Schizosaccharomyces pombe: one gene and its partner. The gene in region 2 interacts genetically with the main gene of each other region. Each region holds a gene or a part of one and is shown on either strand. Other genes may lie near its edges. The genes, in order: lon1 and yta12.

Region 1 (5,958 bases), on a different chromosome or scaffold from region 2:
ACTGACTTTGCTAATTTCTTCGGATGAAAGTGCGCCGGAAACGTCAGACTTATTAGCGAGAACCAAAATTGAAGTAAACAAAAGTTTCTATATGCATGTTAAGATAATTCACATTTTCAGCCTACCTCTTCTACCAACAATTCTTGTAATGTATTTCTGCATTCTTCTAAACGTAAATCATCCAAGCTGTCAACAACCCAAATAATTGCTTCGGTTGATTCAAAGTAATTTTTCCAAAAATTTCTTAGCGTTTTCTGCCCCCCAATGTCCCCTTGAATTAGTAAGCTTAAGACTGTTCATTTCGAAAATTGCAAGCTACGTACATATCGTGAATCGGAGTCCTTCTACTTCAAGCGTTCGAATTTGAAAGCCAAAGGTAGGCGAAACTTCATTTACCTATCAATCGATAAATTATGGAGCCTTAAAAGATACTTACATCCTCGTTCAACAGGCACTTCAAAATTGTCGTTTTACCTGCATTATCCAACCCCCTAAAGTCATTAGATTTCACTCTGTATATATTTGAATCATCTTACAGTAACAAAACCCTGACTTCTCGTTCCTTTAGCTTTTGCTGTCTCAAAATAGTCAATAATCCCATTTCTCAATAGTAGAGTAACCAAGAAATAAGAAAATATGCGATGAATTTGCCTTGCATTGCGTTACTCAACAAGGGCTTAAGCTATCAACTTTATAGAAAGATATTACTGTTTTACGAACGATTGAACAGAATAAATTCAAACTACATGTTGTCTTTTAAATATAGCACAATACATAAATCGTTATTAACTATATCTATTACATAATGAATTTAGATAATTTCTTCATAAAGGTAGTATCCTTCTAATAGGAGAATGTTAATGACTGGGTGAAATTTGATGCTGCTTGGAGGATGACTTTATTAAATTTGGCCAAAGATTGTTGCATTTTTCGGCATCAATGTTTGAAAAAACCCGTTTAAAAACATCATCATACCATGCAACAGGGACACCAGTTAAACCTTCTTTAACATAATCAGGAAGTTGTTCCCAATCGGCTAAGTTACTTTTTGGAAATAGTATTTCTTTCATACCAGATAATTTGGCAGCAACCGTCTTTTCTCGTAAGCCACCAATGCGTAAAATTTTACCGGTCAAGGTTAGCTCACCAGTCATGGCAGTAGTCGCTGGTACCGGAGTATCCAATGCTAAAGAAAGTAAAGATGTAGCCATTGTGATACCTGCTGATGGGCCATCCTTAGAAATGGAGCCTTCGGGACAATGCATATGCAAACGCGCATGTTCAAAAAATTTATTATTTGGAAAATGCTTAGACAAAAAGCTTTTTGAAAAGGAATACGAAATTTCAGATGACTCTTTCATCACATCTCCCAGTTGCCCCGTCCTTTCCAAAGAGGGAGTAGAATTGGATGATAAAATGTTTTTAACAATAGTTTCTACATACATCGAAACACCTCCCATGGGTGTCCAACCAAGTCCCATGACAACACCAGGAGGAGTAGTGTCATAAAGTCGCTGAGAAGTATAAATGGGGGGACCCAAATATTTAGTCAAGTCCTTTTCTTCAATCTCGATATTAACTTTATCGGGAACTTTTAACGGAACAGATGATGCTTCTTTGTTTGCTGCATCTTCTGATGATTGAGGAGATGTTTTCTTTCCCGACTTACCCGTAGACTTCTCTTTAGAATTTAATTCATCGTCAATTTCTTTAACAATACTAAAAGATGTTTTACGAAATATTTTCTCAATAGATTTTTTCAAATTTCGTACACCGCTTTCATGAGCATAGTAACTAATTAAACCCTTAATAGCGTCATCACTGATATTCACATTAGCATCCTTTAAACCACAAGCAGCTTTGGCTTGGGGTATAAGATAACCTTTAGCAATGTTAACTTTTTCAGCTGAAACATATCCAGATAGTTCAATAACCTCCATACGATCCAACAAAGGTGGAGGAATAGTATCAATGGTGTTCGCCGTGCAGACAAATAAAACAGATGAAACATCGAGTGGAATATCCATATAGTAATCTAGGAAAGCTGAGTTCTGTTCTGAATCTAAAAGCTCTAAAAGTGCACTCGCAGGATCCCCTTGATGACTTTTGCCCACTTTGTCTATTTCATCAATAAGAATCAAAGGGTTCTCAGTTTGCACCTTTTTCAAAGCTTGCACAATTTTTCCAGGCATTGCTCCGATATAGGTACGACGATGTCCTTTGATTTCAGCGACATCAGTCAGACCGCCCACACTGAAGCGAAAGAATTCCCTGTTTAAGGCAGATGCAATAGATTTTCCAACAGAAGTCTTACCGACACCTGGCGGACCAACTAAACACATAATCTTTCCTTGCATAGTTCCTCTTAGCTTACCTACAGCTACTAACTCAAGAACACGATCCTTAACATCTTTAAGCCCATAATGATCTCGATCAAGGACTTCCTTTGCATGATCTAAATCGAAATTTTCAACAGACCTCTTTCCCCAAGGAAGTTGGGTTATCCAGTCCAAATAATTACGAGTAATGTTAAATTCAGCAGCCATTGGTTCTAAATGCTGAAATTTGGACAGTTCATCATTGAAAACCTTTTTCACGTGATCAGGCATACTCAAGCTTTCAGTTCGTTTCTTGAACTCAGTTACTAATGCTTCTTTGCTATCAAGTTCTTGTCCAAGTTCTCTTTTAATTTGCTTTAGCTGTTCGGTTAAAAGATATTCTTTATGGCGTTGAGTTATCTTCTGCTCAATTTCCTTGTTAATTTTATGCTGAAGTTGGGCATTCAATAGTTCCTTTTTTAGTACATACAAAGCCTTTTGCAAACGATCTCCTATATTTGTAGCTTCTAAAACCTCCTGTAATTCGCGATGATCTGCAGCCGAAACAGCGGCAGCAAAATCTGCCAATTTAGCAGGTTCATCAAAAACATTGCCAGACGTTTGCGATATTGAAAAATTGGCAATTTGTTCACGAAAGAGGGGACTAACGTTTGCAATATCTTTGAAAACATTCATAATCTCAGACGTTACCGCCTTAATTACAGGATCCTGTCGTTTAAAAGGTTCATTAGGAACGTTTTCGACATTAACAAGAGAGACTTTAAAGTTTTGAAGAATTGAGGGTGTGCTTTCAACTTCCTTTTCAGGTTCCTCTTTCCCATTGTCTTGTTTGAGATCAGACTTAACTTCTCCATTGGAAGAAAGATTAGAGCTTTTATCGGTTTCAAGTTCTGCTGCGTCTGAAGAAGCAGCGCTATCAGCATCCTCTTTTGGAGGTATCAGTTCAGTTATTCGTATCCTACGGTGAGGGTATAAAACAGCAGTCAATGCAGGTTCACTACCACTTTTTGCTGGAAAAATACTGGTGATTTGAGCGAAAACACCGACCGGGTAAACCTGATCAATGTTCGTTATAACATCGGTATCAGTGTTTTCATCCTTCAACAAAAACGCGCCGATATAAGGTTGTCTCTTTTTAATCAGTTCTTTAATGGCCTCTGAAACAGAGGGATTTTTGGTAACTATGGCTTTATAAAAACCAGGGAAAAGAGGTCGTCGCGCAATGGGTAACGCAAGTAATTGAGGATACACATCAGGAACCGAATATTTGGCCGGAACATTTTTATTAAATTCCCCATTTAAAGGCATTTCATCCTCATTTTCTTCACCACCTAATTCAAATTCGTCATTTTTAGACTTAGAAGCTTGTGTAGCAGAATACTTTTCCTCAGTCTTATTTGAAGAAGATTTCAAATTTTGCTTAAAATCGTCATTATCCTTTTTTTTCTTTTTATCCGTAGATGGCAAAGATTCGTTGGTATGTGACTCATCTTCATTATGTGTCTTTTTGGGATCGTTTTTGTTATCCAGTGGTTTGTTATCTTTTGGTTCTTTACTTTTGAAAACAACATTTGAAGTACGAAAAGGTCCGACTGAGCATTTTAAAACCCTCTGTGTAGTGGAAAAACTAGCAAGCAAAGACCGATGAACCAAATGTTCACGAGGCCAATTTCTTTTAGCACCTGATCGCCTCAAGCAAGCGCCCGATAAACGTGTAATCATGGGCCTGTACGAATTTAAATTACAAACTGGCACAAAGAACGTTTCGGGCTATTATTAATTTTCTGGCGTATTTAAAGGTAGTTGGTAATTGCTGAGTTAGCTGGTAAGTCGCCGTCACATAATGAGCGCAAAGAGGGAATTGGCTTACTTGCCTCCAACCTCCAATGCTATTAAATAAACCATTCAAGCATTTAATACAATACTCATTATAAAGGAAAAAAATTAAAGTTTCCAATTTTTTCGGCTTCAAATAGTTCAACAGATGAGATATCGAAGCGTTGCAATAGTTTCACTTACTTTACCGCATTAACTTTTATTTTAAATAATTAAGATACCGATCGCTTATCAAATTTTAACCAAAATTTCATTACTAATAATAAGATAATGCTGTTAAGAGCTGAAAACAGCGACGATTGTTTAATTTAATTGTATGAATGGAAACTCACATGCATAAATTGAATCAGTGTAAAAAAACTCAGAAAGCTTCTCATTACATAAGTCTTAGCTGTTCAATTCAAAACATTGAAAGAGCGCATAGCATTTACAGGATATGTAATGATACGTTGCAGAATCAATCGTGTCATATTGCTGCGTAGTATAACATTGTTATTAAAAAACCAAAAGAAACTGTCTTTAGTAGCGTGGCTTGCACACATTAAGAACGTTGAGTTATTTAAGTCAAGATATTTTTAAATTCGAGGGTAAGCTGATAAAGCATTGAAGGATAGAGACTTATTAAATGACTAGATTGTATTCTTTTTACAGATTTTTAAATATTACTAGCATGTTCAGGTAGGAATTGTCGTAAAGTTTGAATCTGAGATTCTTCTTTTTCCGCTAGATCAAGACGCTCAGCCTTGCGAAACTGTTCAATAGCTTGTTTACGCTTTTTTATGTTTTTTTTAAGTACTCGCAGAACGTCTAAGTCTGTAGTAACTGGCTTACTCGACTTGTTTGCATATTCGATTTCCGAGAGAAATACCTAAGCTTGTTAGCGTCATATTCATCTACAAACATAGATAACATAGTTCTGACAGCCTCTTCACATTGCTTGAACACTGATGCAATTTAACATGTAGACCGTCACGTTTTATTTCCAACGTACTTTTAAAGTAGACGCAACATCTTTTTGCCTAGATTTCATGGAATCCAGCAATTTTTTACGAATAACTGCTTGAAGATTTGGGATTGCTGAAGCGTTAGCAAATAAATGACTATTCCTAAGTTTGCTTACATGTACTATTATAGCGTAAGTATTGTACATTACGAATAGCTATCCTTGATGTGTGTACTAAGCGTTGATTAAACATTGAATTCTTTTTCTTGGATTATGTTTTCAGGTCAGACCCAAAAATTCCCCTAAAGGTGGTGTAGCGCAGAAAGTATTTGGTAGTAGGATTATCCCATTTTGTTTGGAGATGTGGAAACTAAAATATGCGAAATCGCTCATTGACAGTGAGGTAACTCCATCAATTTAGCAATATTTATTTATTAGTACAAACTGATTTTAAGATTGATTGCGAAAATGAGACATTTGCTTTCGGTAGATTTTACAATTAAATTAATGGTTATTCAAAATCAAAATTGAAAAACAAGCAATACAGTGCCGGGTAATAACACTTACGCCTACAATTAGGTCCTGCTACCTAAGACCTATAATTTAGTTTCCCTATTAACAGAAATGCTTTATAAAGACCTCATCTTAATATGTTAACAAAAGATAGTTATTAATAGTCTCATTTATTGAACAGCCTGGTGTATGTTGGAGACAAAATGAATTCGCAGTAGTTGAAATGCATAAGTATCCAGCAATCAGAAGCTTTTATGAAAGATTAAATTCATCTTTTTAATGATATGGAGTAATTTTTCTACGACCAACCATCTGGCCAGCGCAGAA
Region 2 (5,717 bases):
CCTTGGGTTAAAGCGTTTGAGAGAATTCATGTGGACATGGAAGAGTTCCTTCGTCAAGTCTGGTCTGATTAGAAGAAATAGTGTCATATGTTAGCACTGTAAGTTGATAAATTCTGTTTGAAAATTCTTATGCTAAATTTCTTTACATTGGAGAATGCATAATCTGATTAATGGCAAAATATTATGAGTCTAACTGTCTTCCAGTTCGCTTGTTGTATGAAATAAATAGGAAAGTCATAATAATATATACTTTTTATTAATTGCTAACGGTTTTTCTAATTTTCTTTATACAAATACCTCCTTTATAGTAATTTTATGGGTTTAACATTTTTAACAGAAATAATTTTGGCTTGATTATGCATACTCAAATCGTAGCGAGAAATGATAGATTTACGCCTTGCTAGCTTTTTAACAAAAATAGGCAAAATAGGCGTTATATGGCAACTTAAAAAACGAAAGAATTCGTATATTTAATTATCCACAATTAAGGACTATTTCTTTTCGTTCTCTTATAACGTGAGGCAATGATTCGTTTTTTTTCTAGTCTACGCACGTAAGTTGGTGGTGTAACTACACCAAACTTCCCAGGGTATACATGTCCTTAACTCTTTCAATGAATTAATTGCTTTTCACTACACCGTTCTATCTTTATTTTTAAGTTTAATTTGTATACGTTGTCTGCCTAATAAAAATTATTTAAAAAAAATGACTGAAAAAACTGCTAGTCATTATTGGAATGAAGAAACCTCTATATTGAAGCTTCGTCGCAAAGATATACTTCTGTTTGAAATATATGCCACTACACTTCTTCTAGGTAGCATTTATAGCATTTATGTTGACAAATGGTCGATTACCTCTTACTTTGGAAACTCGAAAAATTTGATTAATTTGATTTTTGTAAAAAGAGGCTGGTTCTGGACTTCTTTAGTATATTTTTATCATGCTTGGGATCAAAAGAGAAACAAAATTGACTTCAAGTTTATTTCAAGGTATATAGTGGCCACTCTATGGTGGATGTTTGTAACCCAATGGTTTATAGGACCTGGCCTGATTGATAGAACCTTTGCATTATCTGGCGGAAGTTGCAAAAACTTTGATGGTGATTCATCTGTGTTCATTCCACTTACCGCCTCCACTTGCAAGGGATTAAACGGATCTTGGTCTGGTGGTCATGATCTCTCGGGCCATGTTTTCTTGTTAACTCACTCGAGCTTGTTTATGTTGTCTGAAAACTTTTCATTTATTTTGAATAATGGAATAAAAGCTACATCTACTAAAGTACTTTTTGGTCTTCTTGGACTTTGGTGGTGGATGTTATTTGTTACTGCATCCTTTTACCATACTACTTTTGAAAAATGTACCGGGTTTTTCTCTGGTATTTTAGAATGGTCTATTGTTTACGTGTTCTCTTCAAGAATGCCAGCGGTCGCTGATCTTTTAGGATCCTCCGATTACTAGCCTTTACCACCATTTGTCCTTAAACTATGCTTCTAAATGATTGTTTTATATAGTGCAACACTTGTGACATAGCATATCCTTCCTTCTCTAAACTTATTTGTTTATGACCCTTTTATCTCTCTGTCGATTATTACGATAGTGCCATCATGATAAAAAAAATCTTTTCATTATTTACCAAAACTAAGTATATTTTAGAGAGTATTTTACTTGGGAAAAATACTCGTCAATTGTTTTGAGTGAAAATGCGTTCTTCCATATATATTTGATAGCCGTAAAGTTTCTTCTTTATCAAGCTTGCATATTATAGTGACTATTATTTATTCCTTTTTTTTTTTTGATACAAATATGCATAAATGTTTTTTATTATGGTATCTAAGTTAGTAATGTAAATCAACTCGCTAATATTATCCATTCAGCAAATTATAATGTATTTTAATTTGTCAACAATATACTTGTAATACGTTTAGTAAATCTATAGTAATTAATAGAGACAATGCTAAGAAGTTGGTTGATTTCATTACGGTCGGTGCCCATAATAAATGACTAATGCTTCGGAAGGTTGTCACTACCCACAACACACAAGTCCAAGGCATCTATATTATCCTTCCTTTAGGCTATTTTTTGTTGACAGGATTAGTAACGGGTTTATTGAGCTGAAAAAAAAGTGACAACTGTGTTCTTATTCCTTTTAATTACCATTTTTGCTGACGTGAAACATTGGAATTTCTTCAATTTCATAACGCTTTTTGGAGGTTGCCCAAATCCATGTCCGGAGGTAATAATAAATTTTTATTTTAATACAACCTTATAACTTTTCGTCTCTATTCGTTTTGGTCTCAATTACTGAATTGAACGATTAATTACTGCTTTCTTGAATTTTTTAATTCTAGAATCCACCTTTACTCGTCATATACGAAGGATATTTTTCTTAAAACAATCATTTACGTTTATCTCTTTCGATATTGAGGGTTTTATATATTATACTTGCCCTTACACGCTCAATTCAAGTTATTGTACCCTGCGACTTATTTCCATATAATATTCCTTATGCGAAATCCCTTTTTGACGTTTAGGGCACCTACTAGGAAAACAGGAGATTACCTGGTTTCTAAATTCGTAAAGAAGGATAATTTTTCTTCTTTGCGTTTGGCAAGGGCTTATACTTTTTCTACACGTTCCACAGCTGTTTCACAATTTTCTCTTCTCTCACTTTCTCAGAGATCTTTTCAGTCCCTTAAAATAAATAAAGGAATACCGGAAAAACATAAAATCCCTCTCATTTCATCTAAACAATTTAGCGTAACCTCAAAAAGATCGCAAAATGGGTCTTCAGGATCCAATTCTGATGCTAATGGTAGGAAAAATGGCCAGAAAAATGATGATTCAAAAAAGAAGGGATTGAATGGCAATGATCCGAAAAAAGTTTTTGAAATAGCCTTAAATGGCAACACTATTTTAGGTGGAATTTTAGTTGCCTATATCCTTTACAATGTTCTCTCGCCTAATGCAAATATGCAAGAAATTACTTGGCAAGATTTTCGACAACAGTTTTTAGACAAGGGTTTAGTTGAACGGCTAGTTGTTGTTAACCGCAATATGGTTAGAGTTATTTTGAGAGGCGGTGTAGCTTCAGGTTCAGGGCAGTACTATTTTTCAATTGGTTCCATCGACTCTTTCGATCGAAAACTAGAGGATGCACAACGTCAACTGGGTATTCCACCTTCTGAATTTGTCCCTGTCGCTTATCATGACGAAGTCTCTGTTCTTGCTACTTTATTGTCTTTTGCTCCCACCTTACTGATCATTGGAAGTGTCATTTATTTATCGCGACGGGCTTCGGGTGCCGCAGGAGGTGGTCAAGGTGGCATTTTTGGAATTGGTAAGAGCCGAGCGAAGATGTTTAATCATGAAACTGATATCAAAATAAAATTTGCTGATGTCGCTGGCGTTGACGAGGCTAAAGAAGAGATTATGGAATTCGTCAAATTTTTAAAAAATCCCAAGTTTTATGAAAGGTTGGGGGCTAAAATTCCTCGTGGTGCCATTCTTTCTGGTCCTCCTGGTACCGGTAAAACTCTTCTTGCTAAAGCCACCGCTGGTGAAGCTAACGTCCCTTTTTTAAGTGTGTCAGGTTCTGAGTTTCTTGAAATGTTTGTTGGTGTTGGACCTTCCCGCGTAAGAGATCTTTTTGCTACTGCTCGCAAGAACGCTCCTTGTATTATTTTCATAGATGAAATTGATGCAATTGGTAAAGCAAGAGGACGTGGAGGACAATTTGGTTCCAATGATGAACGCGAAAGCACTCTTAATCAGCTATTAGTTGAAATGGACGGTTTTACGTCTAGCGAACATATCGTCGTATTCGCTGGTACTAATCGACCAGACGTATTGGACCCGGCACTTCTACGTCCTGGTCGATTCGATCGTCAAATTACGATTGATCGTCCTGATATTGGCGGTCGTGAACAAATATTTAAGGTCCACCTTAAGCATATTAAGGCAGCCGATAACATCGACTTAATTGCCAAGCGTCTTGCCGTCCTAACTTCTGGTTTTACAGGAGCTGATATAATGAATGTATGTAATGAAGGAGCGTTAATTGCAGCACGATCAAATAGTAATGAAGTCCAAATGGTACATTTTGAGCAAGCTATTGAAAGAGTCACGGCAGGTTTGGAAAAGAAGAGTAGGGTACTAAGTCCTGAAGAAAAAAACACCGTTGCTCATCATGAAGCTGGACATGCGGTAGCTGGTTGGTTTATGGAGTACGTCGATCCACTATTGAAGGTCTCAATCATTCCTAGAGCTCAAGCCCTTGGCTATGCTAGTTATTTACCCAAAGATCAGTATCTGATGAGTCGAGGGCAGATTTTAGATCAAATGGGAATGGCTTTGGCTGGGCGTGTTTCTGAAGAAATATTTTTTGGACCAGAAAAGATTACTTCGGGAGCTTCCGATGATTTTCAAAAAGTAACGCGCATGGCTCAAGCGTATGTGACCCAATATGGTATGTCTCCGACTGTTGGTACTATAGCTTATCCCATCGACACTCGGGAAACTGTTCAAAAACCATTTTCTGAGGCTACAGCTCAAATGATTGATGAAGAAATTCGAAAGCTTGTAAAGCATGCATACGAAAGAACTAAGAAACTTTTGCTAGAACATAAGCAAGGCTTAGAAAATATTGCTCAACGTCTATTACAGAAAGAAGTCATCACTTATAACGAAGTTGAGACGATTCTTGGACCAAGGCCATATGCATACAAACATTTAAATATTTCTGAACTTATGCGTCAGTCTGAGTATAAAAATGATCACGATCCTCGAAATCCACCAATCCCCCCATCTCCTCAACAACCTTCTGCCTAATTTGTCAATTTACTGAATTTAAATAAAGCGTTATGAATGAAAATAGTTACTTTCATGGATCTCATGATCAAAGTATTTGTCAATTGAATATCATATAGCTATTTTATCTATTTTTTCTATTTAATATTACAGAAGCTAGATAAATATACTTAACATCAATTCTTCTGAACTTTAAAAGGTTAATAGATTATTATTTTCTAACACAAAATAGCTAATATCGTAACAAACAAACTTGTGTTTAGTTTCGACCTTTAGACCAGCATGTCATAGGGAGCGTGATACTCAACAGTTACACGTTTGACACTAACCACTGTACTTTCTTACAAGTCCATATTTTATGATGGATCTGATTATTTCAACAATTTTATTAAGCTTATTTATTCATTTCTTCGATAAATTTGCAAAAAAAAGGACTATTGATGGGGTAATTTAACATATATACTTGTTGTAAAGAAAACTAATAATGTGAAAGGCTTATCGAATTTACGTTAGTGTTTCTAATAATAAAGATTTAAAGAAGAACAAAGAAATTTTAGAGCAGCTGCTTACTGTTAAGAAAGAGCTAAACGCTACTAGCAGTCAAGATCAGTTTGCTAAATGGGCCCGTCTGAATAGAAAGTATGAACAACTCAGTCAAGAGTGGGAAAAACAATCAGCCAATGTTAAAATTTTCCAAGATACTTTCAAGCGGGTTTTAAGCCTTTTTCTTTGGATTTTAACCCGTGGATTCCGGTTTTATATTCAATTCAAAGAGTCCAAAACACCTGTCTTTTTCCTCCCTGCATTCTTGCTTCCTTCTTGGGCTCTATGGGTGCTATCTCTTCCACGATCAATCTACGGTATGTTGTTTTTAATGAAAATTCTGAAAATCTTTTTTTTATTTTTATTTT

Evidence for each region.
Region 1: mutations in yta12 (region 2) and lon1 impair growth when combined (synthetic growth defect), as found in Schizosaccharomyces pombe (one study listed by BioGRID).

The regions. Positions count from the first base shown.
Region 1 is NC_003424.3:691,934-697,891, reverse strand, and holds lon1 (Lon protease), read right to left. Parts: upstream 4,155-5,958; 5' UTR 4,062-4,154; coding exon 858-4,061; 3' UTR 762-857; downstream 1-761. Other genes in the region: GTP-binding protein involved in beta-tubulin folding Alp41, read right to left, coding at 7-87, 126-271, 324-396, 437-491, 537-601; mitochondrial aspartyl/glutamyl-tRNA amidotransferase subunit B-related Aim41, read right to left, coding at 4,831-5,043, 5,167-5,325; atp20 (F0-ATPase subunit G), read right to left, coding at 5,908-5,958.
Region 2 is NC_003423.3:4,313,783-4,319,499, forward strand, and holds yta12 (m-AAA protease Yta12), read left to right. Parts: upstream 1-2,025; 5' UTR 2,026-2,505; coding exon 2,506-4,827; 3' UTR 4,828-5,087; downstream 5,088-5,717. Other genes in the region: MAP kinase kinase Pek1, read left to right, coding at 1-72; fit1 (CoA pyrophosphatase (FIT) family lipid storage protein), read left to right, coding at 706-1,458; GET complex subunit Get1, read left to right, coding at 5,165-5,251, 5,300-5,666. UniProt on the Schizosaccharomyces pombe protein: Catalytic component of the m-AAA protease, a protease that plays a key role in proteostasis of inner mitochondrial membrane proteins.